Pelodiscus sinensis: one gene and its partners. The protein of the gene in region 1 purifies or fractionates together with the protein of each later gene. This does not show direct contact. Links are inferred from orthologs where the notes say so. Each region holds a gene or a part of one and is shown in the gene's direction. Other genes may lie near its edges.

Region 1 (6,935 bases):
TGTCAATGACTTTAGTGCAGAACAAATGTATACTGGAGCAACTTACAGTGGAGATGCCTTGTAACTACAGGCAGTCCCCGGGTTACGTACAAGATAGGGACTGTAGGTTTGTTCTTAAGTTGAATTTGTATGTAAGTCGGAACTGGCGTCCAGATTCAGCCGCTGTTGAAACTGACCAGCAGCGGCTGAACTGGACATGCCTGGGGCAGAGCAGCTGGGGTGCTGCTGGGTTGGTCCCACAGCGCCGCTGCTCGGCGCTACTGGACCAAACCGGCAGCACCCCAGCTGCTCTATCCCAGGCGTCGGCGAGTAAAGCCTGGTCTGCTGGGGGTGGGGTGCACTAGCTGCGCCCCCCCCCCAGCAGACCAGGGAGACGCGGGGTGGCTTTTCTCGCCGCGGAGGACGTGGGCGGCGGGACCACAGTGCGTCTCGGCGGTCCCGTCACCCACGTCCTCCGTGGCAAGAAAAGCCGCTCTGCATCTTCCTGGTCCGCTGGGGGGGGGGGGCGCTAGCTCCGCGTCTCCCTGGTCTGCTGGGGGGAAGCGCCCCCCGCGCCGCCAGAGGCGGCGACAGTGGGGGAGGCACCCCGCACTAGCGCGGCCCCCCCCGGTTTGTAACTAGGGGTCCGACGTAAGTTGGACCGACGTAACCCGAGGACTGCCTGTATTCCCCAGAATAATTCAAAGTTATTACCCCCCAGTGCTTCTAAGTTGAGGTAGCATGTCCACAATAATGGAGCCTGCCTCAGACTAATTTTGAGGCTCCCCCACAGCAAGGATGTGCTATTTTGACTTTGTTATTTTGGGAATTATTACTTTGAATTTAGTTATTTCAAAATAATTTCCTAGTGTAGACATGCCCTTAATGGCCTGGTCAGTGCTGCTGACCGGAGCCACCAGGATCCCTTTTTTACTGTTGTTCCAGTTGAAAATCAGATACATGGCAACTCTACTTCCTTTAGCCTGTTATCTGATCCTGAGGTTTGGAGCATATTGTCAGTCTCTGGGTGTGTCTAGACTACATGCCTCTGCCGACAGAGGCATGTAAATTAGACATACCAACATAGTCAATGAAGCAGGGATTTAAATAGCCCCCACTTCATTAGAATAAAAATGGCCACCTGCTCAGCTGTTTGTCGGCACAAAGCAGCAGTCTAGACGGGGTTGGTTGGCAAAGGCTTTCCTTGCTGACCGATCCCCGTCTTGACTGCCGCTTTGTGCCGACAAACAGCTGAGCTGGCACAACGCGGTGGCCATTTTTATTCTAATGAAGCGGGGGATATTTAAATCCCCACTTCATTGACTATGTCAGTATGTTTAATTTATAGGCATGTAGTCTAGTCATACCCTGTGAATCTAACCCTTCAGTCTGTCCCCTTGGCCCATCGCTCACTTTTCTGATCCTCAGGACAAAAAACTTGTCTAAAAAGACCAGTATAAATTTACAGCACTGTATTATTTATTTCTATGTTTGAAAATCTTGTTTGTATTTTATAAAACATAGAATTGCAAGAATAAAGTAAATAACAGGGGTATAGAGATAGTACAGTTTGTTAACAATCCCTAAAGTACCTAAAGGAATATATATATAAAAAAACAACTGTAAGCAACTGCCTTGTACAGTATTCATAGGATACTTAGCTTAAGGGAGAAATTCAGCTATAATTTCAAATGCATCACTTTACAAATACATGTTAAAAAGATGGAATGGATCTGTGGTTTTCTATTATATATGGAAACCATCCAAAACTGAATTATTATTTTAATATCTTAAGTTATATATATGTCTAAAACTTTTCTGGTATAAATATTTGAATACACAGTTAAATAATTTAACTATTTATAGAGGTATTTATAGATGTAAGGCACATTGAAAAGAAGATGTGGTTAAAGATGTGGTTTCGGTTGCCTTCTAACAGGACATGAGAACATCGTATTTTAATTTTATATATATATATATATATATATATATATGTTTTAAAAATTATATTTTAAATAGAGAGGTGAGGTAAAATATTTTTAAATACATAAATAAATAAATAAATTAAATTAAATTAAATTATAATGGCTATACTAGGTCAGCTCACTGTCCATCTAGCCCCATATCCTGTCTTCCACCATTGGCTAATGCCAGGTGCCCCAGAGGGAATGAACAGAACAGGTAGTCATCAAATGATTCATCCACTCTCACCCATTCCCAGCTTCTGGCAAACAGAGGTTAGGGACACTATCCCTGCCCATCTTGGATAATAGCCATTGATGGACCTATCCTCCATGAATTTATCTATCTCTTTTTTGAACTCTGTTATAGTCTTGGCCTTCACAAAATCCTCTGGCAAAGAGTTCCACAGGTTGACTGAATGGTGTGTGAAGTACTTCCTTTTGTTTTAAAACAACAAGAAGTCCTGTGGTACCTTAGAGACTAACAAATAAGTTATATCATGAGCTTTCGTGGTTGTCATGACATAATATATTTGTTAATCTCTAAGTTGCCACAGGACTGCTTGCTGTTTTTAAAGATTAACACAGTTACTCCTCTGAGACATTTTTCCTTTTCTTCAGACTCGCTACCTATTCATTTCATTTGGTGACCTTTAGCTTTTGTATTATGGGATGGAATAAATAACTCTTTTAATTCACTTTTTCCACACCAGTCATATTTTATAGATCATGTCCCTCCTCCCCCCATCATCTCTTTTTCAAGCTGAAAAGTCCCAGTCTTATTAATCACTCTTTCATATGGCAGCTGTTCCATGCCCCTAATAATTTTTGTTGCCCTTGTCTGAACTGAACTTGTAACAGATGTTTAAAAGGAGAAAAAGGTAATGTGATAAGGTCTCTGGTGCTGACTTTGTGGCTTTATGTTGTAGTATGACACGTCCATGTCACACCCTAATGTCACCAGGTTGCATTTTGTTCCTGAGGTACCAATGAGATATCTTGAGGCTCAGTGTTAAAGGGACTCCCCGAGGGCCTCCCTGACAGGTAGGCACCATGGTGACTTATAGCCCTACATCAGGCTATGACACCATCTCTCGACAGCCCGAGGGAAGCGGGATTAGGGTTTGAGTGGGATGGCCTCACGCTGAGGTACGACGCCCTGCCTCTGACGTGGTGACTTTAGCAGGACCCCGTGTCACAGGACGGATTGATACCAATGGTCACACTAAGTCTCCCTCTGCCCATAAGGAGGCTGAGACTTAGGAGGAGAGGCTGAGGGAGTCGGGTCTGTTTAGTCTGCAGAAGAGAAGAGTGAGGGGGGATTTGATAGCAGCCTTCAACTTCCTGAAGGGAGGTTCCAAAGAGGCTGGAGAAAGGCTGTTCACAGTAACGGATGCAGAATGGAGCAATGGTCTCAAGTTGCAGTGGGAGAGGTCCAGGTTAGATATTAGGAAAAACTGTTTCACTAGGAGGGTGGTGAAACACTGGAATGGGTTCCCTAGGGAAGTGGTGGAGTCTCCATCCCTAGAGGTGTTTACGTCTCGGCTTGACAAAGCCCTGGCCGGGTTGATTGAGTCGGGATTGGTCCTGCCTTGGGCAGGGGGCTGGACTGATGCCCCCCTGAGGTCTCTTCCAGCCCTATGGTTCTATGATTCTATAAGGACAAGAACAGGAGCGAGAGGCCAGTTCATCACCCCCTCCCCCCCCCCCCAGGTTCCCGGACTAGGTTAGTAGCACAAGTATGGACACCCCCCAGCCTGAGGTAACGGACACGGAGCCGAGCCCCTTTCACGTCCGAACAGTGCCGAAGATGACCGAAGCCAAGCCCAGCCCGCTGTGAGTCACGTGTTGCCGAACGTTAACGAAGTCGCGGCTGTCGCGGGGAACGAGAGCCCGAGCTTTTCCGAACGGCTCCGAAGCCGCCTGGCCGGCCGGGCGGGGCAGTTGGGGGGGGGCTGAGCACAGCGAGGCCGGATGTGAGCGGGGCGGTCGCTTCCTGTTTCCCTGCAGCACTCCGCTCTCCCCGCTTTGGGTGGTGGCCGCTGCCTCGTCCCCGCTTCCAGGCGCTGAGGGCGGAGGCGGCCAGACGCTGGTGCAGACACGCGGGCCCCTCGCCTCACGGACCTTCCCAGCCAGGTAGAAGCAGGAGGCGCGGAGACCCGGCCCCGCAGCAGCCCCGATGCAGGCCATCAAGTGTGTGGTGGTGGGAGACGGGTAAGTTCGGCCGGCTGCTGCTTCTCCCCGGGTGGGACCCGACCACACCCGCCTTCCCGCTCCGCGAGGGGCTGCCCCAGTTTCTCTGAAGTCCCCTCGCATCCAGTGGCCGGGGCGGGCCTCTCGTCTGGGCTCCGTCCCCCGCCGTCCGTGGGTGGCCGGATGGGCCTCTCTCTTCTCCCCGGGGATATGTTCCCCTTCCTCCGTGGGGTGTCGGGGCGGGCCTCTCTTCCCCCGGGGTATGTTCTCACTTTCCTCGGGTGGCCGAAGCGGGCCTCCCCAGGCGTCCGTCCCCCGCGTGGGGTGGCTGGGCGGGACACTCCCTCTCTCTCTCTCCCTGGGTGGCCCGGCTCCACTATTGTTTCTCCCCCCGTCACACACAGAAAACAAACTTTTCACCCACAGCTACAACACCATTCCTCAGGGCTCCCTGTTGGGGACGGGCAGCGCGTATAGGGTCCTCTGAAGTAGGCGCTGTTATAAATAACTGCAACAAATGGATTAATCCCCACCCTGGTACTGGAGGACATTGATATTAAGTGCTTCTCCCATCCCCAATTGTGTGAGAGTGTGGGTGGGGTGCTCTGCCGGAGTGTAGGCAGCAGCAAGTTATTTCAGGGCTGTGGAGCCATGTGGTGAGATTTGTATTGCAGTTGCTGTAGAAGCAGAGCCACCAGGGAAGGGGATCTGTGGAGGGTTGGTGGTTCTTCTATTCCTATTGGCAAATGGGGAGCGGTGGAAGAAATGGGTACGGCGATGGCTTCGTTATTGCTAAGAAACATAAGGGTGTTGGTGATTGGTGGATGCCCTAGAGCTCTTGTTTTATGTGGTGAATGGACAGGTATCTCAAATGTGGATGGTAAGTGATGACTTGTTGCTTAGTTTTCATGCTTACAAAACTAGTGTCTTTCTGTGTACATGAGGATATGTACTCCTTTTATATGCTGGCAAAGAGATAGTTAACTTCCCCAAGTTATTGTAGCTATCCACTTTGCTGACTGGTTCAAAACTGCAATTGGTTTAGTAGTGGACACAATTGTTTCCCCTGATACCTAATTATATTTGTGATGTTTAATTCAAACAGTTCTTTCCTACTTTGAAGTTATATAGTAAAGGTACTGTTGAAGTAACTGAACATAAAACTTACCCTTTTATCTCTCTCCTTTAGAAAGACTTCATTAGAGTAGTGATAAACATGGGTAGGGTTAGTCGGTGTTTTGATAGATCTGTGTCTTTATTGTTAAAGATTAAAATGTAGATTACAAATTCAGTGTAAATTGCCATCTCTGCAGGGCAAGGACTGTATCTTACTATGTTAGTAAAGTAGGAGCCTGTAGGTATTTATTCTAATGCAAAAACCTCTCAAACTGTCATGTTTTAATCGTCTGTAAAGAACTATGTGCATCTCTAGTGCTTTTGCATTCCCTGCTATAATTGAAGTAACTTTTAGTTATTTGTAATGGAATTGAGCCTGAGTTTATGCATAACTGCTGGATTCCTTTGTAAAGAACATGTTAGAAGGCGTGTGTGTGTTTAGGTACTTTGATATTTTAGTACTCCATGATAAAATAGGCTTAGTAAAGGGAAGCTCTTCCCCCTATTTTGGAATATTTTTTTCTTACTAGGTATCAGAGCTCTCAGAGCATCACAGGCCAGCTGGAAAACAAGACTCGTTTTATGCAGTTTCATTTTTTTTCCTTGGGAAACAAACATTCCAGTGTAATCTAAGCATAATTGGGCATCACAGCAACCCAGTGTAGATAGATTGAGGAGTGTAAGTACAGCTAGAAGAAATCACCGTCAGCCCCATGTAATTTAGTGTTGTTTTCATCATATTACTTTGCAATGAATAGTCTTCATTAATATTTAATTATTTGTTAAACTTATTTTAAACAATGTTGAATTTCAAAATTCATGTGAGATACCTGGCTTGCTCTTACTGCTTATGGTACGCAAGAATGATGTTCTGACAGACTTTATTAGTGCTGCAATTAATTGATGCTGGCTTTCACTTATCTTAAATTGCTATAATGAAAGAGTAAAATAACTTTAATTTTTAAATTAACATCTTAGTTCTTTGCCTATATTTACTTTATTAAAATGAATATCTTGTCTGCATTAAATGTTCTGAAAGAATGAAGTCTGTCTGGTTTCAAAATAAGAATAAGATAAATTCATGAAGGATTGGTCTATAAATTGCTTAGCCAAGATGGTCAGTGTGCAACTGCATTTTGCATACCTTTTTTCTGGGTTTTTTTTGGGGGGGGGGAGAGAGGCTTTTCCAAAATTTGGCCTGTTTACACTGGGCCAAATTTCAGAAAATCCCCCTTTTTCAGAAGATCCCTTCTTCGTCCTAAAATGAGGAAGAGAGGGCTCCCAAAAGATCGTGTTTGCTCTTCTGCAAAAAAAAAATAAAAAAATAAAAAAAAATGAAGGCGCGAATGCGTTCTCTGGATGTAGCAGAAGTATCCTGGAAAAACCCCGCAGTCTAGATGTACCCTCACCCTACCACTGCCAGAAGACAGGAATGTATCACTCCAGAACTTCTCCATTCCGTACATGCTTTCTGAAGCTCTGGTCCTGGCCACTGTTGGAGGTAGGATACAAGTCTAGATGGACCATTGGTCTGATCAAGTACATCAGCTATTATGTTGTTGTTTTTAGAGGAAACAGGTGTAACAAACTATACACACATTCTTCGTAATAATTTACACACTAACCATAACAATACTTTCAAAATTTGTGGTTTTGTATAAGAGGTCATTTATTCGTATTACACAT
Region 2 (7,725 bases), on another chromosome or scaffold:
ATACCATGAAAAAAATCTTCAGGGAATGTGGGAACCTGCCCTCTAATACCTGGGAAAGTGCATTATGGATGTTTGAGAACTAGAGATGACTCCTGGACTTTAGTATTTTTGCTTGTCACTCAATGTTATCAGAAGACCAAGATGCAGCAGAGATGACATCTGCCACAAAATATCCTTAATAATAAGTAGGTGGTGGATTCTTGGCCTCTTTTATGTGCAACAAGCAGTCCACTTCTTTCCATGCACCTCTTTCCTATGGCAAAAAGCATCCTTGTTGGAGCTTGGCTTACTATGCAGAATCTGGTGTCCAATCTCCCTCACCCTCTCCAATTTAGACTTTCATATTAAGTCTACTCATTGACTTCCTTTCCTCCAAGGGATACTCTGCATAATAAATGGAAGTGTTGCAACTTTTTTTCCCCAATGAATAATGAGAAGCAAAGAGGCAGCCTTGCTTAGCCAACTTTCCCTCAACTGTTCCAAAGGCTTGGTGCAGACAGCCTCAGCCCTCTGCTGAAGACAGTGTGATCTGTCAGGAACAGTACTGTAGTTTGCCACTGCAAGAGATTAACCTTTTTCCCACTAGAGAATAGGGCTATCTTATTTTGAACAATAGCCAAGTAACCTGGAAAAAATATGACAGAGAAGGGAAGAATATGACTCCAATAGAACAGCTGCTAGGGCTATTGAACTGTCTTGTAAATCATCCACCCTTAGCCATGCATGCCATCATTTCAATGCCACTGTGGAGCCATTTAACTATTAGTGTTCCAATCTAATAGGCTACCCTATTTTCAGAGCTAAACAGGAAAGAAGGGACAAGTTCCACAAGCAGAAATGCTCATGCAATTGTGCATTTTTGCATGTGGACCTTAGTGGTTCAATAAGGGTACACTCTCCCTGAAAACGGCACCTGTAGCAGTAGACTTCCCACTGTCAATTAGCAATTAAACATTGTTTTCACATAGAGCCTATTCCTGCTGAGTATTTCTCCCCTCCTGAGCTGTCATTTGCTGCTTTGAAGGATAACCATTTATAACTCCGCGTAAGACCTATCTTGTCTTTTGTCCTTGATGAACCATATTCCCTCAGCCATTGAGAAGCATGAGCTTGTTACTAGATAGGATGTGTGTTCTGGCTCTGGTGTTGCAAGTTCTGAAAGGAACAGAAGAAAGGACAGCTGCCCTATTCTAAATCACATACTTCAATGTCTTACACTAAGGGTTTTTTCGAAAAAACGTGGCAGTTTTTCAAAAAAACTTCCCCTGAATCTAGACCATTGCCGCGTTCTTTTGAAAGTAAATCGGAAGAACACGGCAATTTTTTTCAACCGCGGAAAACCTCGTTTTACGAGGAAGAATGTCTTTTTTCAAAAGTGCTCTTTCGAAAAAATGCTTTATGTAATGCAAACTGCTTTTTTGAAAGAGAGCATCCAGACTGCCTGGGTGCTCTCTTTCAAAAAAGCGGCTTGCTTTTTTGAAAGTACTGGTTGTAGTCTAAACGCTCTTTTTCAAAAGAGGCTTGCAATCTAGACATAGCCTAATAGACTGGGCTTTCTTTTCTCCCAAATCTGCCTCATGGAAGTTCTTTATGCACACTGCAATTAGATTTGCTTTTAACTTTCCAAAATAGAGTGGAATACTCTGTTGCTTTCAGTATGGTAGGTCCTGAATTACAGCTTGTTGAGAAAATTTTTTTTAACTTTCATTCCAGTGGAGAAGCCACCACCACTGCAATACACTTTGTAAAAACTCAGGGCACCATGGCCAGGCCGAATGGCTACACCGTGAACTGGTAATGTCTGCCCAACATAAGAAAATGCAGAAACTGTCTGTGTGTCGGGATGTCAACGAGAAAGTATGTGTCCTTGAGATCGAGGGCAGCACATCAGTCCCCTGGATCCAGGGAAGCGATAATGGAGGCCAGGGATACCATGTGGAACTATAGTTTTTATATGAATGCATTTAAGTTCCTGAGGCCAAGGAAAGGAGAGTAAACCCCCTTTAGACCTGGGGATGAGGAAGTATCGTGAGTAAAACCTCCTGCCCCGAACTCCTGAGGAACCTCCTCTATCACACCTATTGTGAGGAGTGACTGGACCTCTTGCATCAGAAGGTGTTCATGAGAAGGGTCCCTGAAGAGGGACGGGGAGGGGGCATGGTGGGGAGGAAGGGAACAGAAGTGGATAGAGTATCCCACTCTGCCATGCTCAGGACGCTCCGGTCCGAGGTGCTCTGCGACCATGCCTGGTAAAAGTGGGACAAACTGTTCCCAAAGGGAGGGACAGGATCTGGAACTGAGTCTGGTGCTCTGTCCTCAAGTGCACCCTAAAAATTGGAACTTGGGCATGGAGGGCTGTTGAGAGGTGCCCAGGTGTTGGTTGGTGGAGGATTGAGGAGATCCCCTCCTGTTATTGCACTAACTGTTATGGTGGGAGGACTGGGGGAAAAACCGGGCAGGTTGCAGGGGCTTAAAGTGTCTGCGCTGCAGGGCAGGTGTACGGGTGAGACAGGAGCCATCAAAGAGAAGGAGCCTGGTGCCGAGGGGGCCAGAAAAAACATAGAAAGGGCAACGTATGACACTGTAAGTAGCATCACTGGCACCACCGCAGGAGCTGTCTGCTCATGGAGGAGCCAGGGCTGGTGCCACATGGGCGATGCTGTTGTTGTCGTCAGCGATGCTGTCAGCAGATGGTGGTGCTGCTCCACCATGATGGGCTCTGGAGAGTCGACCAACACTGGACTTGACAGCCCTGCCCTGGGTGCTGGAGACAATGGTGCTGGGGGGCCCGACTTGGGCAGGCTTGGTGCTGCATGGGTGGCCACGGGGGCCTTACTAGAAAGGAGAGCATCCTCAGTCTTTTTCTTCTTCTTAGGCACCGGTGAATGGGAGTGGTGCTATGCCAAGAAGCTCACCTTACATGTGGGGGATCGGTGACAATAGTCCCGGTGCTCCTACTGCCAAAGTGTCCCACTCCGAGGCTGGCACAATACAGATGGAGGGAGCTGAATCTGCATCATGGGGCTGAAGTGCCAGCTCCATTAGCAGGAACTTAAGCCTCTGATTTCTCGTGTGTTTGGTCTGGGGCTTGAAACCCCTGCAGTAGCTACACTTATCCTGAAGATGGCCTTCTCCAAGATGCTGCAAACAGTCAGTGTGTGGGTTACCTGTAAGCATATGCTTCCTGCACTTAACACATTGTTTAAACCCTTGGGACAGCTACATGCCCCACAGACTTGGCAGATAGTGGAGAGGGAAACGCCCGCAGAGATACTAACTGTATGAGGGCTTGTCTAAACTGCATTCCACTCTTGAAAGAGGAATGCAAATGAAGCAGATCGAAAATTCAAATGAAGCATGGATTTACAAATCTCGCGCTTCATTTGCATAATTGCATCCGATCGCTTTTTCAAAAAAGGGATTTAAAAAAAAACCCTCCGCAGTCTTGATGGGGTTCTTTTGAAAGAAAAAGAAAAAAAAAAAACTTTTTTGAAAGAACCGGTACACCTCATTTTTTCAGGAGTACGGATTCTTTCAAAAAAGGGGTTGGTTTTTTTTTGAAGGAGCCCCGTCTAGACTACGGGTTTTTTTTGTTTTTTTTTTTTAAAACCCTTTTTCGAAAAAGCACTCGGACACAATTATGCAAATGAAGCACAAGATTTGTAAATCCGCGCTTCATTTGAATTTTTGATCTTTTGAGAGAAGAATGCAGTCTAGACAGAGCCTGAGTGAGAACAACTCTATCGACACAATGAAGAACTCTTAACTATGCACTAGGGAAGAACCACTTGCTAAGCAAGAAGTCCAAAGCTCCAGCAACCGTCACTGGTGGAAAGAAGGAACTGAAGTGGGAGTCAGGTCAGCAGGGGTATATGTATGATGCTGTGAGGCATCACTACCAGGGGTGCTACAGCCAATCCAACAGGTACCACTAGGGAAAACTCTTCTGACAATCATCCATATTGGAATGCACATGAGCAAGCACTCAAAGAAGAAATGTGCTTTCTTCTACATTGTTTTGTAAAACTTTTCATGTTCCTATCAATATTTTGATCAGTGTTCATTTATAATTTTTCTGTCCTTGGGTTAACTTTTCAAAAGTGATTCTTAATGGGAGGCATGTATGTTTAGGGTGGGAAATAGAAGAAATTTCACCATGATGCTAAACTGCCTGAAAAATTCGTGTAAAAATATTTCAGATTTTGAACATGGAAAAATCCAATGTATTCTATAAATGCTTTATGTAAGATTTGTGAAAGAAATTCACACAGTGAAACAAAATTATTCCAGAATGTCTTCATGATTTTTTGCAATTAAATTTTCAAGCTCTTGTTGACTAGTCTTGCTTTTGCACAAATTTGCAAACACTTAACATATATGAATAAAGTTATGCATATATTGCTATCAACTTCAGTGAGACTACAGATGAGGGGAATTACTTATATGCTTAAGACTTTGTGGGATAGGATAAAGACCTTATGATAGGATAAAGTACTCAGATACTGATGGGTGTGATACAAATTTCTAAGCAGAGAGGATATCCTTTTTTATTTACGAGCAACAGTAAATATTTCACTGAGAGCACAATAAAGGATCTCAAGCCATTTATATAGCCACAAGCTTGTTTCTTCCTTTAGAATGAGCATAGCTTCTAGTTTTTATAAAAATCACAAGTGTCAGAGGTTTTCAGTACAGTTGTTTCAAACTTTAGCCCTGCAGTCACTAGAAGAGGCAGGAAGATGCAATCACGGATGTGGGTTAGAGCTAGTAGCTGCAGAAAACTTCTGCACTGAAGGCAGAACTCTCAACGATGAATTCAGAAGAGCGGATCGTGACATGGCTTATTTCATTAGGAGTTTTAAATTCGCCCAAAAAGATGATAGGTGATCCAGAGCAGTTCCTGAAAGCTTCTCTGAAAGATGGAGTAGTACTTTGCAAATTGATAAATCGGCTTCTTCCAGGATATGTGGAAAAGGTAACTTCTTAAGTACATTTTGGTAGTCAGTAGGGCAGAAACATCTTGTGACACTGCTGCATGTTTCTAATACTCTGAGAAACTGGAGTATAATATCTTAGGGAATCATGACATACTCTGTTTTAGAGGAGGGAAGAAAGGAAAGATGCCATCTGTGTTTGAGAGAGACTTTAGTATTTTATCTTGTTTCAAAGATACTGTATTGTTAGCTGGATCTAAGTAAAATATAAATTTGGATTGTAGCTTTTTTAATGTTTATAATCTCTTAGATTTTGTCAGCAACATGAAACAAAAAAAGTATTGCTTGCATATACAATTGGAATTAGCTGAATTATGTATGCATGGCTTAAATCCTGACATATAGTGTATGCATGCTCTTGAATTTTGAACAGGAATATTTACTCAACCAAAAGTCAAATCTCCAAGTTTTTAGATAATGTATCTATGACTTGACAATATAATGCTTAAGTTTTAAAAACTATTCATTAAAGGAATATACTAATATCTTGCTAATCAGGAAATATAATAAGATGGAGAAGGGACTCAAGTGGGAATAAAAGTAAACCGTCATCAGTGCTAGTTTAAATTTGATCTGGCCAATACATTTGCAATATCTTGAAGCTGCTAAACTAAATTAGTACATTGTGTTACAGTTTTATTTGGTATGTAGGCAGACAGTTCAAATCAGCAATAAGCAACTGCAAACATAAAAGCGGAAGGAGTCTGATGAGAGATAAGGAAATGGCAACACAGAAGAACTGTCAGTAAAATGACAGAAAAAACAGGTTCCTTCTCTTATAAAACAGGAATCTTTTTTTTAAAAAAATCAGTTGAGCTAGCTGCATCTCTCTCTCCATTTATGTATGTACTGGTGGTTTTGGGCAATGTACTGATAAAGGTCAAACTTCTCATTATCACTTAGGGCACTGTCATATGCTGACATTCAAAACAACATGCCGACCATTTAGATTTATGCATCACTTCCTCCAGCGGCTCTTCCTGGTTTGACAGCTTGCATGCCACCCCCATGCCTCCCCCTAAAAAGCTTCCCTAATTCAGAATAGATGCACATGTCAAATATCTATGCAAGCCTGCTGAACAAAGACTATCCTGATGGTAATACAGTAAGCATGTCTGGGTTTTGTTTCTTTAGTATTGTCTGGAGCCCAAAAATGAAGCAGATTGCATCAGTAACATTCAGGAGTTCTTAAAAGGCTGTGTGACGCTTAAAGTGGAGGTAAGTTATTCCACTTATCACTATTACACTTTTAAAAATTATTATTCTGCTAATCTGTTTCCCGTGTGAATGTTCCTAAATATTAATAAGTAGCAGGAGATTAAAGTGATCATTATATTTTCAGGTATCTAAAAGGATGTTTACAAGGAGGAGGGAGAAAAATTCTTCTCCTTGACCTCGGAGAATAGGACAAGAAGCAATCGGCTTAAATTGTAGCAAGGGAGATTTAGGCTGGACATTAGGAAAAACTTCCTAACCGTCAGGATGGTTGAACATGGGAATAAATTGCCTGGGGGGGTGGTTGTGGAATCTCTATCACTGGAGATATTTAAGAGCAGGTTAGACAGACATCTATCAGGGATGATCTAGACAGTGCTTGGTCCTGCTGTGAGGGCAGGGGACTGGACTCAATGAGATCCCTTCCAGTTCTATGATTCTATGATGATATCTTGATTTAGTAAAATACACAAGAGTAGAGATTACTCAATATTCACGACAGGGATTCAGGGAGATTTTGTAAATATACTAGAGTGACGCGGAGTTGAGCAGCTTTTGAGATGAAGCTAAATGTGGGAAGAGGAACATACACTAAAAATAACATTAATTCTAGAGAGAACTGAGTAGTTTGATAGTGCTGGAGATTTGTTGGTTCTAAAGAAAAGTTCATGCAATCTTTAACCCTGCTTTAATTGACTTTATATTGTAGTAATGTCAAGACTACATTTAGCCAAGGTCTTACTTCACAAAGTATTGTTGTGTTAATTGTGATAGAATAAATGGTTCCAGAGAATCAAAGGAATTAACATGACCATGTTGCAGTGGTGCATGTTATGTACAGTTAAATAAGACTTGAGGGTTTGTGTACAGAGACATTAGCCTACTTCATCCCATGGCAAACATAGTCAAAAATCCATGCCAAAAGAGATACACAAAGGGGAAAAAATCAGAAGATATTCTGGAATTCAAATGGAGTGGTTAACAGAATAAATTTAACCAGAACCTATTGAAATCCCTTTTTCACAAAGAGCATATGTTAGTTCTGTTTTGTCAGATAATCCTTCATAGTGGGGAAGAAAGGGTTGGAACCTTTCATAAACTTTCACATACTTTATAACAGCTAAGTTCACAACTGGGGTAAGACTAAAAGACCCCAATTAATACCACAGGATCCTAAAATGCTTTACAAATATTGGGCCTGATTCTGAAAAATATATTTGTAGAGATGTAGCCTTTACTCATACAAAAAAGTCAATGATGTCAAAGGAATTACTTACATAAATAACACCTGCTTAACATGAGTAGAGGTTGCAGAATGGGCCTTTTATATCGCCCCAATGAGTGCAAGCTGATTCCTATGCCCAAGCCTAGCTCAGTGCAAGTGGAACCCTATATAACAGGTATCGAGATCAAGGCCTAAATGACTGTGCTGATTCTTAAAAATAGAAGTTCAGCTAGTTTTGCTGTAAACTTTCAGATTGGTTATGTGGTGACCCTTAGAACATAAGAACGGCCG
Region 3 (6,873 bases), on another chromosome or scaffold:
CCTCAGAGCAGCACCTCCTCACCCGTTGGCAGCCAGGGGGAGAGCACAAGGCCTGGCAAGGCACCGCTCCCCCCCCCCCACAGCCAAGGGAAGAGTGCCAGAGCTGGCAAGCCCCCACGGATGGGGGAGAGCTAGGGCTGGCAAGGCTTTGACCCTACCAGGCAGCTGGGGGGGGGGGAGGGGGGACTGAGGCTACCTCCCGCCAGAGAGAGTGGGGTTGGTGAGCATAGCAAGCAGGGGGTACAGTCCTCTAATATCAAATTAAGATTCTGAATCCTATAATCAATTCTCTAAATCAAAGCTTGAAACTATTAGATAGGAAATGGGGTAAGATACCTAGAATTTGAAGTGTGTATACAAAATGGAGGGAGGGTTAAGGGGCATGAGAAGGGAAGAGGACAACATCCTAAAAGTCTGAGCCTCACTCTGATGTTATTCACCTTTCTCCTACCCCAAAAGCATGCTGCTAAGAGTGGTGAGCTGAACAGTGGATTGAAGACACCTGTTAGCACAATCCCATCACGTGGGAGAGTGGGAAGGTCAGCATTAGCGCATTAATCTCAAACACCCTTCCCCAGCATGGGAAGGGGGAACAGCATGGCTGTGTCTAGACTGGCAAGTTTTTCTACAAAATCATCTGCTTTTGCAGAAAAACTTGCCAGCTGTCTACACTGGCCGCTTGAATTTCCGCAAAAGCACTGACGATCTCATGTAAGATTGTCAGTGCTTTTGCGGAAATACTATGCTGCTCCCATTCGGGCAAAAGTCTTTTTCCGAAAAACTTTTGCGCAAAAGGGCCAATGTAGACAGCAGAGATTTGTTTTCCACAAAAAAGCCCCGACTGCGAAAATGGCGATCGGGGCTTTTTTGCGGAAAAGCACGTCTAGATTGGCCGCAGACGCTTTTCCGCAAAAAGTGCTTTTGTGGAAAAGCGTCCGTGCCAATCTAGACGCGCTTTTCCGAAAATGCTTTTAACGGAAAACTTTTCCGTTAAAAGCATTTCCAGAAATTCATGCCAGTCTAGACGTAGCCCTTGGGTAACACGAGAAGCGGATTCTCCCCCTTTCACCAGTATGCACATATCACATCGTAGGCACCTTTCTCCCGAAAGCGATCTGAATGGTGCAAGACCTGATTTGGAAGCTCAGCGACAAGGCCTAAGACTTCAATCTGGTTAAGAAGGTGCCACAGCAGAAGAGAACTGAGAGAAAGATCCACCCCCACACCTGCCTGCAACTCAAGGGGTCGGGTACCGAGATATGAGCGCGCTCCGGACCGAGCCCCTGCCAGCCCCGAATGCCTGTCCAGCAACCTGAGCCTCCACCCCGAGCCCCCAGTGGCGCAGCTGAGGGCGCCAAGGCCGCAGGCGGCCTCCCCTGAAGCGCCCAAGCGAGACACACAATAAGGGGCAACCCTCCCCGCGCAGCTGTCCCCCGCCTGGCACCGGCCCAGCAGCGCGGCGCAGGGGGTTGGAAGGGATCGGCCCGTCCCAGCCCAGGCCCTTCCTCTCCCTCCTACCTTCACAGCCACCTCCGGGGCCGCGTCCACCGCCAAGGCCTGCGGGCCAGGGGGCGGCGAAGCGAGGTGCAGCACCGCGTCCCGGCTGGCCACCAGCGCCGGGCGGCGGGAGCTTCCCTCGGTGTCCGAGTCGGAGCCCGAGTCGGAGCCGCCGTAGGAGGCGAGCGCGGCGATAGCTGCCGACATCTTCGCGAGGAGGAACCGCGGGAGCACCCGGAACAAACGCGTCCTGCCAGTTACATAAGCTCCTCTGATCCGATAGATTTGCGCTTTGTTGCGACTGAATGGAAATTACGTAAATGCGAGTTTTTAACATAAAATACTTATAATTTTCTGCGTCTTTTACGAAACATGATTTTGGGAAGCAGAGTTCCCTTCCCAAGGTGCTGAAATAGGGTTAATCTTTCAGGACTCACAGGAAGGACTGCAAATCCCAGCGTGCAACGCGCCGTAGCAGGACAGGTCGAATGTGATGGGTCTTGCGGGTCTAAGCAGGTTTCACAAGAAAAAGGCTCTTTCCCTGTTCCCGCGGAATGACAAGCACTCTTTCCCTACCAAATAAATACTTAAAGAATTACATAGTAAAACCCCCACAACTAAAAAGATCTTGAGAATAAGACTAATGAACCAGGATGGCATGGTACTGCTAATCATCCATGGAAGGTACTGTAGTGGTAGATACACAGTAAGCATAAGCTCTTTCAATAGATACTGATTTTCCAAACATTGTTTGTGCTACGGAGCTGGTCCCATAGCCAGAGAACCCTTCATGGATACAAAATCTGTATTTGTATCTGCAAAAATGAACCACGGAATCTGCATTCACATCTGTGGATATAAAGCAGATATCCAAGAATTTGCAGGATTCTACCCGTTACTCACATGTGTGCTTAAACTCCCCCCCCCCCAAAAAACAACCTTGAATCAAGGTTTTAGATGCTTGGTTCAATATTTTATCTGTAAATTATAAACAAAATATTGCCATAATATGAACTCTACACTTCTGCTTCCCTTTATTCCAACGCATCTAGGAAAACCGAAAACACAATTTGCCTAATTTCAACCTCCAACCGCTGGATTGCATTCACTCTAGTAGAAAATGATATACCGGTAAGTGATCAGCCAACACGGAAACTAGACAAATTCAGATTGGAAATTAATGTGTTGGAAATAAGGTCTTGAAACCTATGAATCACCACAGGTTGGCTTCTTCTGCAACCAACATCTTCTACTGTCCAAGGCAGCACTAATGTCAACCTGATTGTTGTAATCCATCAATTGCTTTGTTGGTTTCAATATGAACTTTATGCAGTTGATAACAATGCGTGCATTGTCACTTCTTCTCACACACATGGACTTCACCCTCTCCGTCAGGTAAGGGTGATATCTGCTGATACCATTATTGGACCTAACCAAGTGAGTTATAAGATCAAGAACACATATTCCTGCGCATCCAGAAATATAATTTATGCTATCATGTGCCGAAAGTGTCCATCTGCTATGTACATTGGACAAACGTCTCAGACTCTTCGCGAAAGGATTAACGCCAACAAAACAGATATCAGACAGGATCGCAAAGAAAAAACAATTTCTTGCCATTTCAACCAGAAAGGACACTATCTCAACGACTTATCTACCTACATTCTGCTACAAAGACCTTTTACATCTGCACTTGAAAGGGAATCCTCTGAACTGTCATTCATGCTAAAATTCGACCCCAACTACTTTACCCATTACAAAGATAGCTACCTTTCCCCACCTCTAATATCATTAACTCACAGACACTTACCTTCCTCCCCCCCCTGTTCTGAAATGTGATTTGTCCTTTTCATATGTGTTCATTTTTTTAAATTGTATCCTTTGGTATATATGGTTGTGACTATTTTCTTCCATTATTTGATCTGAGGAAGTGGGTCTGGCCCACGAAAGCTCATCATCTAATAAACCATCTTGTTAGTCTTTAAAGTGCTACATAGTCCTGCATTTTGCTTCAGCTACACCAGACTAACACCGCTACATTTCTATTACTATTCTGTCAGATAAGTAACTTTTAACTGCCCTATTTCATACACGAGGAAACCGATACATGCACATATTCAGAGAGTTCTGCGTACCGCCAGGACCCTCGAACAGAAACCATGCATCTGCGCACTAACCACGCTGCGCTAAGTACAGCAGGAGACACTCGATGGAAACAGCCCCTCCCACTCTCTTTGGAGCAACAAGCAGCTCCACCCACTCTCCGTCTAACCACTCCTTTCCCATTCCCATTGGCTGCCCGAAGCCGGCTTTAGAAAACGTCACAATGCCTTCGGCCCCTCCCCCCCAGCTCGACTAGCGAACGAACTGGACTATACCACCTGCCATTTTGAGGGGGTGTGTGGAGAAATCGGGGCTCCCTAATACTCAATGTCACGGATTTTGGGGGAGGCATTCACCTAGTTCCTAGGGGAGGCGGCGAAGGCCGGTCAGGTGTTGAGTAAACAGCCGCCACACGCTTGGCGAGTGTGTCCGGGCCGGGGAGAAGCCCCTCCTCCCACGCGCACACACACGCGCCGCTCTGTGTCTATTGTGAAGCCTTTGGGGAGCTCCGCGCCGCCGCCCCCCAGCTCGCGCCGGGTTCGGGTCCTTCCCCTCCACAGCGAGTCTCTCCAGCAGGGTGAGGCGGTTGGAAGGAGCCGTTTGAACTTCGGATTCGTAGCGAGCAGGGAGCAGCGCGAGCCTCGGGGGCGCTGAGAGGGCGGGGCTGGTCGGCGGCATGAAGGTGTGAGGGGAGCAGCGCGCTGAGCGGCGAGAGTAAGTGCCCCGCAGTCTGCGCCTCCTCCGCCGTGACCTGCGCCCACCGCGGGGAGGGCAGCGGCCCTTCATCGGCCCCCGCCATCCTTCCATCCCCACCCAGAGTGACACCTTCGCCATCCTTCCCCCCTCAGGGTGCCCCCCATCTGCCCTGGGGTGAAGGGAGCAATGGGGGTGAGCCAGTGGGGTCCCTCTCTAGCTGGCTGCAGCTGGTGTTTGGGTGGGGGGTGAGCGCCGAGCCTCCTCCGGCTGTTGCAGGGACAGGTGTGTCAGTTCCTCGCCTCTGGCTGCGGGGTGAGGGTGGTTTTGCACTTTTAGCAGCGAAATGTCTCCCCCCCCCCCCCCGCCTCCAAGTGCAGCACCCAGTGCAGAGCCTCACTCACGGGGCGGGACCTTTCCATTGTTGGGGTCAGTAATTGATGGGGGGGCGTTCGTTGGTTGTCACAAGACGCTCGCTACTACCCTGACCCAGCCACCTCCGCTTAATTTATGTAATGAGGACTGTAGAGGCCAGAGGTGGGAATGGATGATGGAGCTAGATGCGATTTGCCTTTTGAAGAGAAGCAGATTCAATCATACTCACTGGAAATAGCTGCCAATTTGAAAGATTGCTACCATTGTTCCGCTGTTGCCTGTGAGCAAAAGACCTCCAAACAGCAATCCCAACACCATGTAGCCCTCCGCCTCCTCCAGCCACCAAAACATCCATCCCTCTGTGCCAGTTTAACGTGTGGCTACAATAATTATAAAATGTAATAGCCCAAAGTAATCTGTACTTGTATCTTAAGCATGTAGGAAGTCCTTCTAGATCTATTATTCATGTGTCTATGAATGATTTTGTTTCATTCAGTTTTGTGTTTTGGAATCAGAAATAAATATAGTAATTAGATGTTTTAGTTTGCTTTGTGATGTTGGATTTTCACATTTCTAGCAAATATTTCAGTTTTAAAGGAAACCCACTGGATTCCTTTGAAGGTATCAACAAGAGTAAAGCATAGCAAGTAGAAAATGCAGCATGAGGCTTTAATATTTCTTACATGCTGTTTTTAATTTTTTTTTAGTGATCATGGCCACTCTAGAACCAAAGTAGCAGAAATAATATTGACATAAAAATAACTGCAAGACTTGTTTTAGGGGAAATTTCTGTTTTCTAAACCTTTTTTTTATTTCGACATTTGATGTGTACAACTTTTATTTCATCTTTATAAATGGACTATGTATGGTACAATAGCAAAACAAGTTTTGTGATTTACCTTCTGCTTAAACACCAGATGTGAGTTACCCCATATGTGATTTGTTAATTTTGAGAATACAGCTGTCATTGACTCTCATACTGCCTGCCAGCAATTGTTAGGTGATTCTATAAAAGTGCATTCCTTGTTTTCCTGGTATGCACCTACAGGGTGTTGTCTGTAGTTGCATGGTATAGTTGTTGAAAGGTAATAATGTATTTCAAAGTCTGTTTGTCAAACTAATCTTTGGTGTAACATTGCTATTTAAATATTGTATCTCAAGTATTATGCTGCAAATCAATTTATATAAAAGCAATATTTTCTTAATGCTGAATCTCTGTTAAATCAATCTGTGTATATTAATCTCGTACTATCGTGATGGAAACTACAGCTTTTAGTTAAACTCTGTTGTGCTCAATATATTATAGTAAAGTGTAATCATTTAAGGGTCTGGAGTAAAGTCACAGTACAACCTTTAGAATTATTTGCTAGTGTAAATTTGCTATTGTCCACCTGCTACTTCCAGTGAGGTATGTTGTCAACACATTCTTCAGAACTAAAACAATGGGTAGGTCTACATATGTGGTGGTTGTAGGGTACAGATATTGCATGTCCAAGTAGCGTGTCTATAAACAGTGGTAAAGAACAATGATTCTCAACAATGGGACCTCTTCGGAGGGCCGTGAGCCAGTTTCAGGAGGTCCAACAAAATAAACCAGAGAGCAGGAATGGTGCTGGAAACCAGTGAGTATTGGATAGAAAGCCAAAGCTTGGACCCTGCTGCTGAGATCTGAAGCCAAAGCCCAAATAATTTAGCTTTTGTAGAGCCTTGGATGCTTGGTACCCCCAACACCAGCTCTGGCTTTCAATTGATTGGTTATACGGAAACACAGCTGTTGGGGTACAGGTGTGCAGTGACATTTTTTGTAGTATATTGAGAGGTAAGGCCTCAGAAGGAAAACATGTTGAGAACCCCTGGTGTAGAAGGTGAGATACAGCTTTGATGAGCAGACACATCAGAACCTTAAGATATGTACTAGTATAGTCGATTAACTGATAAGCAAAAGATTATGGGATAATGATATAGACTACAGGCAGTCCCTGCGTTACGCAGATCTGACTTATGTCGGATCCGTACTTACGAACGGGGCTTTTCTCACCCCGGAGGACGCGGGCAGCGGGACCGCCCAGACGCGCCGCTGTCCCGCTGCCCGCGTCCTCCAGAGCGAGAAAAGCTGCTCCGCATCTCCCTGGTCTGCTGGGCGGTCCCGTCGCCCGGGTCTTCCGCGGCTTTGCTCCGCCTCTCCCTGGTCTGCTGGGGGGGGGG
Region 4 (7,960 bases), on another chromosome or scaffold:
TACGGGGAAAAAAAGGGTTCCAACTAGAGTAAAAAGTTTGGGAAACCCTGGTCTAACCAGCTTTCTGTCTGTCTTATACTCCATTTACCCAATCCATATTCTTTAACTTGATGGCAAGAATATTGTGAGTGACCATATCAAAAGCTTTGCTAAAGCTGGCACGGGGGCTTTGGGAGGACCAGAAACAACTTATTTGAATATTCATAATTTGAGTAATGAATATGCAAATATATGTTATCAGTCCTCCAAAAGTTCGTGAATGGATTTACTGGTCCCCATGTCAAAAAGTTTGGGAACCCCTGGTATAGAGTATTTGATTAGTCGATTGGGAGCTTCTGCCTTTGAAATGTAGCAACAGCCCCAGGGCTCTTGCTATACTTCCAAGGTGAAAGCGCTGAAGCCCAGGATCAGCTGGGGATTCCCTTGCTGACCCTGGGCTCTGTGCAGCGCTGCCGCTTTGAAATGCCGCAAGGAGCCCGACACCACACTACTGCTTTGAAATGCCATGGGAAGTCTTGAGTCAGCTGATCCTGGGCTCCATGCGGCATTTCAAAGCAGCAGTGCAGCACGGAGCCCCGGGTCAGCTGTGGAGTCCCCAGCTGATCCTGGGTTCCATGCGGCACTGCTGCTTTGAAATGCCATGAGGAGCCTGACGCCGGGCTCCCTGCAGCATTCAAAGTGGCAGCACCGCACGGAGCAGCTGACCCTGGGCTTCGTGCTGCACTGGCACTTTAAGTACCCCCCTCGTCTCCCCTCCCTCGCTGCCTCTCTCGGATAGAGGCGGCAAGTGGGTGGGGGTGGGGGGGGGGGGGGAAGCGGGAGTGACTAGTCAACTATCCAGTAAGCATCCTCTCAACTATCCAGTAAGCATTTCCTTATTGGATAGTCGACTAGTCCTTCACATCCCTACCTACATGTAGAAATGAAAATACTCTCACTGTTGTCTGCCACTAAATAACACTATAAAAGTCCACTGGAATAACCTATATCTAGAACACATGAGAAGACACAAGCATTGTGTAATCTAGACTATGGGTTTGGTGCGCACACACTTCCAAAGACCACCTCCATTTAGAAACTTACAGAAACCCTAATTACTAGGGAACGTTCCTATATTTGGTCCAATTTAAAAGATATTAAACACCTCATTACACTCTAGCAAACTTCACAGAACAGATTCTACCAAATTCAGATAGTTCCTCCAAATATTGTTATTGCCAAAGGGGAGAGGGTACTTTTTGTACATGTTATGGGCAAGGATGCCAAATAACATTCTGCTGGTAAAGAGCACATACATACATTCATTTGACAGACAAAATTATTCTACAAATATAAAAGAGGAAGAATTTCAACTTAGAAAATATTATTGAATATTGAATAATATTGAATGTAGATATGATGAAATACAAACTATTCAAACAAATATAATTTATTGATAGATATAGCTTAGAAGGTATGAAATATAGTCAGCCCCAGATGCAGGTTTATATTCTATGCTTTGCCAAAGCTTAGGCACTATGAAGCCAAGCCGGGAGGTCATTTGTGTATCCTTCTGTCTGTTCATCTTTGATGGAGACACATCATAGGCTTCTCTAAAATGTTCAGCTGCCATTGGTCCCCAACTTCTAACTTCAGTGGGACTGCTCACACACTTATCATTAAACATGTGCATAAATGTTTTCAAGACTGGGCTTAAATGCAACAGAATATTCATATTATTGATACCTGCATTTGGATCAAGACAACAATATTTTAAAACTAAGATACAAAAGAAAAAAAGTGTGTTAATCAAGTATAACTGTCCCTTACCATGTCTGTAGCCAAACTTAGTTGCAAAGGCAGTCATTCATCAGAGGATGAAATAGAGAAAATTAGTGAGCATAGAGGTCAGTCATTACAAGTAATAAAAACTGATTGCTCTTATTTAGTCTTGCAATAATATAATTTCTAACAGGATACCTTTATTAGAAGTAAAAAGCAAAACAGTTTTGCAAAACTAGGAATCTACTGGCCTTCCATGACACTTCCAGGAATGCATATCTTTAAGGGGACTTCACTATGCAGGTACAGGTAGTAATTTCATATTTAGTCTGTCTACAAGCACTGAATCCACCTATGGCATAAACAAACAAATAGTTGATTACAAAATTGTGACATTTAACCAAAACAGAACAAGCACCCGCCTTATGTATTTGTATTCAATAAGAACCAATAAATGTCATATATATATTCCAATTCCCACCAGCTAACCCATTAACCATTCACATCCCTAATACAGACTGTATAGCATTGCAAAATTATTTATCCATAAATATGAATACTGTTATTGTACTGCATTTCTGTTTTATTTGTTCTTTCATTTGCATAGAAAAACAAAGATAAGCACTAAATGGAACAGGAACACTTGTTTCAGTATTTCAGTGTGATTTGATTCATCTTACAAAATATAAACCCTTTAAATCAAAGTTACACAATACTGTAAGATAAAGATAATGAGCGGAGACTGCTTTTGAAAAACTTTTGATCTTCTCACCTCATGGAATAATGCCTAAGGGTACACTGGTTCAACACATTGCAATGGCCTTTGAATTCAAGAGGTGTGTGTTAGTTAAAAGAGCAATAAGATTCAGGGTCTCAGATCTAGTCCTTGGCAGACAATGTTGTAGGTGGTGGAATTTATATTATGGTGCAGCATATGTCTGAATGGAGAAGCAAGGCATCAAGGAGGGAGTGAGGGTATATGGAAAGAATAGATAGGAATGGACTGCTGTGTGGGTCACATACTGATATAGGGTGTGTCTAAAGTATACCCCCTGTTGGCAGAGGGATGTTAATTAAACGCATCGAAAGTGTAAATGAAGCGGGGATTTAAATATCCCATGCTTCATTTGCATAATCGCATCCTGACGCTGTTTTGAACAAGCGCCATTTCGAAACTGAAACCACGATTTAGACGTGGTTTTTCCGACAATGGGGTGATTTTTTTGAAAAATCAATGAGGAGCACAGGATCGTTTGAAAAATCGCCCAGTTGTCGGAAAAACTGTGTCTAAATCGCGGTTTCAGTTTCAAAATGGCGCTTGTTCAAAACAGCGCCAGGACATGATTATGCAAATGAAGCACGGGATATTTAAAACCCTGTCTCATTTGCACTTTTGAAACGTCTAATTTACATCCCTCTGCCGACAGAGGGGTGTAGTTTAGACTTAGCCATAATGTCTGGAACAATGCCCCAGTAGCGTTTTTAAAGTAGGGATTGTGACTGCGTACTGGGTTGCAGAATGCCAGGCACTGGGTCTCGTTGCTACAGGGTGATCAGTGGGGTGCTAAGGAATGCTTCCTGCCTGTCTGCAGATTTTGCTGCATCCCAGAAGCAGCCAGCAGCAGACCCGGCTCTTCGGGATGAGGGAGGAAGACTGCACAGGGGTCTGCACACTGCCCCTGCCCTGAGTACTAGGCTCCACATTCCCATTGGCTGGGAACCTGCTGCTAGCTGCTCCTGTGGTGTAATATGGGTCTGTGGTGCCAGAACAGGCAGGAAGCTGCCTTAACACTCCTGCTGTACTGCTGACCTGGAGCCACTTGAGATAAGCCCCTCCTTCCACAGTTGCGACCCTCCCCCAAAAGCTGGAGCCCCATCCTACAGTCCAAAGCTACTATCCTCAGCCCCACCCCGGAGCTCACACTTTAGTCAAATTATGTTGGTTTGCAAGCATCAACAATTTTCTTCAACAAAGTCACGAGAAAAAAAAGTTTGAAAACCACTGGCATAGGCAATAATGCTTTGGGAGATAACTCCACACAAAGTGCACTGAATGTAAATATTCCCACCTGACCCCTGCAAGGGATTAAGACTCACCCTAGAATATTAGATTAAATTATCCATAGTGTAGTTTAATATTTACTATTTGCATTATCATAGCACTTAGGACCTCAACTCTGTTGTGCTAAATGCTGTACAAACACAGAACATTCCCTGTCTCAGGGAATCTTACAATCTATGTAAGGCTAAAGAGAGTAGGTAGATAGGGGGATAGACAGGGGAGTACAGGGAAATAATGATATACTGATTAGCATAAGAGACTGTGGCATCAGTGCACCAGGGTCCTAAAGTCAAAGTTTTTGTAGCAGAATACAGCTATTCAGATTTTCCATGGCAATTTTGTCCCTCCCCTATTTTTTACCAAATGTTATCCCTTTAACTTTTCCTACTACTTTTTCACATTTTTTTCTTGCAAGTAGGAATAAGAGATCCTCCGGAAAAGGGCTTTATTCCGGAGGATCGCGCCAGTCTAGACGCTCTTTTCCGGCTTTTCCCCAAGCCGGAAAAAAAGCGGCGGCCATGTTTATTTAAATCCCACGGGGGATATTTAAATCCCCCGCGGATTTCCCTATTCTGACTTGCCTGCTTTGCATGCCTATTCCGTCTTATGTGGCCAGTCTAGACGTAGCCTTGGAGTTTAGTTGGTTAGAATACAGAAGGAGAAGCGAACAGGTTGATTATTTGTGATATCATAGGAATAGGCTTACTGTATAACACAGAAGCTTCAGAGGGTAGTCCAGTTAGTCTGTACAGAAAAAAACAACGAATGGTCTGGTAGCACTTTATAGACTAATCAAAACAGGTAGATTCTATCATAAGCTTTCGTGGGCACAGCCCACTTCTTCAGATGACCGGAGTTATAACACAGCCACATCACCTCAGGAAGATGAGGGCATAGCACTGCAACTGGAAGCAAGCCGACAAGCTGCATAGACAAACTGAGGGTAGACTGATTATTTGAGAGATGTGGGACAAAACTGTCTGGAACCCAACATTTTCTGTGGTGCTCTAGGCTCATGCTCTAGGTCAAACAGGGATTCACATTGTTTTGTTACAGTAGCTAGGCTCTGTGATGGTACTAATGGGGGAGGGGGAGGCAATTGGCAAGAGTCACATACTGTACATCTTAGCTTCTCTTGTACTGACTTCTTGGTAACAGCGGTTTGGGCACGTTCACCTGAGCAGGGGCAGGCTGTCTGCCTGTCTGAGAGCAGGTCTGCTTGGGCAGGGGCTGCAATGGGAGGCTGGTTTGCGCTGGCCCGGAATATCATTCTGCCAGACCTGTGGGGCGCCGCACAGCCGCTCCCAGCTCTGCCAGCAATCCCGGCGGACGCTTGGCTCCTCCAGCCGGGCTTGCAAGGGGCTGGGACTCCCTGAGCTGACTCCGCCCGCACCACATGACTTCTCCATCCGCAAGAGCAAACTTTTCCCGTCCCGAGGCTGGAAAATGGCGGCTTAGGAGCGGAGTGCCCGCATCCCATCCCGGCTCGGCGCCTCCCCAGCGCCATGACTCGCTGGGTGCCCACCAAGCGGGAGGAGAAATACGGCGTGGGTGAGGCCCTCTCCTCAGCTCCCCCGGGGTCCCGCTTGTTTGCTTGGACTCAAACTTTGCACAAGTTTGTTCTCCAGCGGGGAGTCCCGGAGTCGGCGCTCCCTGCCCTGCTCCGGCTGCCGCCTTTATTCCCTTCCCTTCTGCCTGTTGTCCGCATCTGCTCCCGGCCCGCGGCGAGCTCTGCCCGGGGGGTTGCCCTGCCTGAGCTCGCGGCTGCAGCCCTGTGCGCTGGGCTGGGGCGGAGAGGGCGGGCAGGCGCGTCTCTGCCAGGCCTGGCGTAGCGGGGGTGGGAATGGGGAGCTGCCGCTTCCCTGAAGCTCACATTGGAAATCGCATTTCCTCCGCGGGATTGGCGGGCACTTCCGTGGCACTTCGCTGCTAAGTAACGTCCCGCGGGCCGCCCTTCCCTAAGGCTGCCCAGGGTACAACGTGGGACCCGGGCTGTGAACTTTCTAGTTGGGCATTACCCTGCCCCTGACAAATATCTCAAGTCCCGCTCCTCCCCACATCAAGCCTGGTTTTGATTTTATCGGCCTTGACTAGCAGGAGCTATCTACATGATTCGCCTCCTCTTCCCCCCTGTTCATTGTGCAGCCTAATTGCAGGCGGCTTAGACTCCTGCCCGGTGAGCACAGGTTTTGTCATCAGTGTATTACAGGGTTGTTACCCCCTTTATTTACGGCTTTGAGTTTCTAAATGCGTACTTTGAAAACGTCGGAGAGGGTATATGTCAGTGACCAGGAAAACAAGGCTGCCCTATCCCTTTTTTTTGCTCCATTTTAGATGAGTAGAATGGGATACAGTTAGCTTATATCTGATTTTTTGAGAGAGCTCTGCTACTAATGGGTGAATAAACTGTAACATTCTAGAACTGATCCCAAACATTTTAAAGGGTGTTTGTCAGTTCCTCTCAGAAAGTATTCATAAATGCAGGGTGTATAAACAATGCTTATCATGCACAAGTGAATATTTTGACAACATTGAGCACACTCTGTCTTCATTATTCCACATTAAGAAAAGCAAGATTTGGGGGTAGAGAGAGAAAAGGGCGCACTGTTCTGCAGAAAATAATAATTAGATATTTCTCAGTTTCTATCTTCACATCTTCTATCCCCCTGAAATGAGAGGGAAGAATACATCTGGCTTTTAATTCAGAAGTCTCCACATTAAAGTCAGTATTTTGGAAGAATATTCAGATAACTAGAAATGTACTGAATTTCAAAAGCAGATGCTATGAGTAGAAGGGAGCAGATTATATCTTGCATAAATACGAGTGTTTCTCTTGAGGAAGGAAATATAAAATCTGCAGTTCCATTTGGAAATGTTCATTTGAAAGGTTTTTTTTTCCGGACAATTAGTAGATCTCTTAGCAACGTTGCTTGCAAATGTGAAGATGAATTTTAGTTTGACTGGTTCTTTATGTGTCTAAACCTTTTTGTATTTATTTACTTTTTTTGAAGAACAACTGTATGTTATGGAAAAGGAAGTTCTGGGACTGGGCAGGAGGAGCATAGTGAACTTCAGAGGTTTGTGTTGGGTAGTGCACAGATGTTAAGTCTTTGGGTTAGAGTGTCCCAAGTTTAGTAGTACACCCTTTCTGCCCAGATAATACACAGAACAGTATTTTGTGTGCAAGACACCCAACTTCAGTAACAAGGAAAATGAAAAAGGAATTTCAGAAATTAAAGCTGCTACGGGATGCATGTATTTATTTCAGATCACACGGTATATAAATTCACATCTGTATCATCTGAATTATTTAACATGGTGGGATGAATTAAGGCAGTGCCACAGAACTACTGATTTATATTCAAGTGTAGATTTTATAGAAGGTCTTTCACAAGTACAACAGTGTGTAATTCTGTTTTGCTGTCTCTTCTCCAGTACCACCAAGGTGCATTTTGGAAGTTTAATGGTAAAGCATGGACAGTTAATTCAGTTTCTAATATATAGTACAATACAGTTAACTAAAAGCTAGGAAGCTAAAAATTGGGTGAGGAATTTGGAGAGCTTGCTGTTCAGGAGCCAAAGTGATGTATTTTGGTTTCTTTGGGGATATGTTGGAGTAGAGAGTAAGGATTAGTAGTTATAATTTAATTTTTTAAGTAAATCTGGTATCCATTGTGGGAAACTATCACGTTTCAGAGATCTGGACTTTACTGATTGAAATGGAAATACTGGTTTTGATGTTTATGAAAGAGGGAGTATTTTGGAACTACCTGACACATTAGTGTTAAATCAGTGTTTTATCTCTTTATAATAGGAATAACTTCCGAGTCTGTAGCAGAATGGTGCAGTGTCTTTATATTTCTTAATTCTAAATATAAGTTTAGTCCATAGTCTAATGATCATAGAAAAATCTCATGCTTTTATTTGGTGTAACAACTTCCTGTTTTTTTCCACATTAGCTGTGAATGATGATCACTAGCTACATTATGGAATTTCTCTAATGAATTTCAAGGGTGTGGGAGTTGAGAATAGATGTGTTGTTGCTATGAAGGAAAATTAGATTTGATGCTAAGTGAACATAGACATTTTCATTTGCCTGCACTGTTAAAATCTGGCTCTCAGAACAGGTTTAGGATG

The links.
Region 2: the proteins of RAC1 (region 1) and ARHGEF6 purify together in Homo sapiens (affinity purification with mass spectrometry; 3 studies listed by BioGRID, with this or other methods). This does not show direct contact. The link is inferred for Pelodiscus sinensis from reciprocal best matches to the Homo sapiens genes RAC1 and ARHGEF6.
Region 3: the proteins of RAC1 (region 1) and WASF1 purify together in Homo sapiens (affinity purification with western blotting; 3 studies listed by BioGRID and IntAct, with this or other methods). This does not show direct contact. The link is inferred for Pelodiscus sinensis from reciprocal best matches to the Homo sapiens genes RAC1 and WASF1.
Region 4: the proteins of RAC1 (region 1) and DOCK1 purify together in Homo sapiens (pull-down; 6 studies listed by BioGRID and IntAct, with this or other methods). This does not show direct contact. The link is inferred for Pelodiscus sinensis from reciprocal best matches to the Homo sapiens genes RAC1 and DOCK1.

Annotation. Positions count from the first base shown.
Region 1 is NC_134726.1:23,058,019-23,064,953, reverse strand, and holds the start of RAC1 (ras-related C3 botulinum toxin substrate 1), read left to right. Parts: upstream 1-3,912; 5' UTR 3,913-4,119; coding exon 4,120-4,154; intron 4,155-6,935. UniProt on the Homo sapiens protein: Plasma membrane-associated small GTPase which cycles between active GTP-bound and inactive GDP-bound states.
Region 2 is NC_134723.1:35,326,994-35,334,718, reverse strand, and holds the start of ARHGEF6 (rho guanine nucleotide exchange factor 6), read left to right. Parts: upstream 1-4,709; 5' UTR 4,710-4,810; coding exon 4,811-4,975; intron 4,976-6,128; coding exon 6,129-6,212; intron 6,213-7,725. UniProt on the Homo sapiens protein: Acts as a RAC1 guanine nucleotide exchange factor (GEF).
Region 3 is NC_134713.1:78,569,443-78,576,315, reverse strand, and holds the start of WASF1 (actin-binding protein WASF1), read left to right. Parts: upstream 1-3,858; 5' UTR 3,859-4,314; intron 4,315-6,873. Other genes in the region: CDC40 (pre-mRNA-processing factor 17), read right to left, coding at 1,519-1,704.
Region 4 is NC_134718.1:52,380,435-52,388,394, reverse strand, and holds the start of DOCK1 (dedicator of cytokinesis protein 1), read left to right. Parts: upstream 1-4,949; 5' UTR 4,950-5,328; coding exon 5,329-5,374; intron 5,375-7,960. UniProt on the Homo sapiens protein: Involved in cytoskeletal rearrangements required for phagocytosis of apoptotic cells and cell motility. Along with DOCK1, mediates CRK/CRKL regulation of epithelial and endothelial cell spreading and migration on type IV collagen.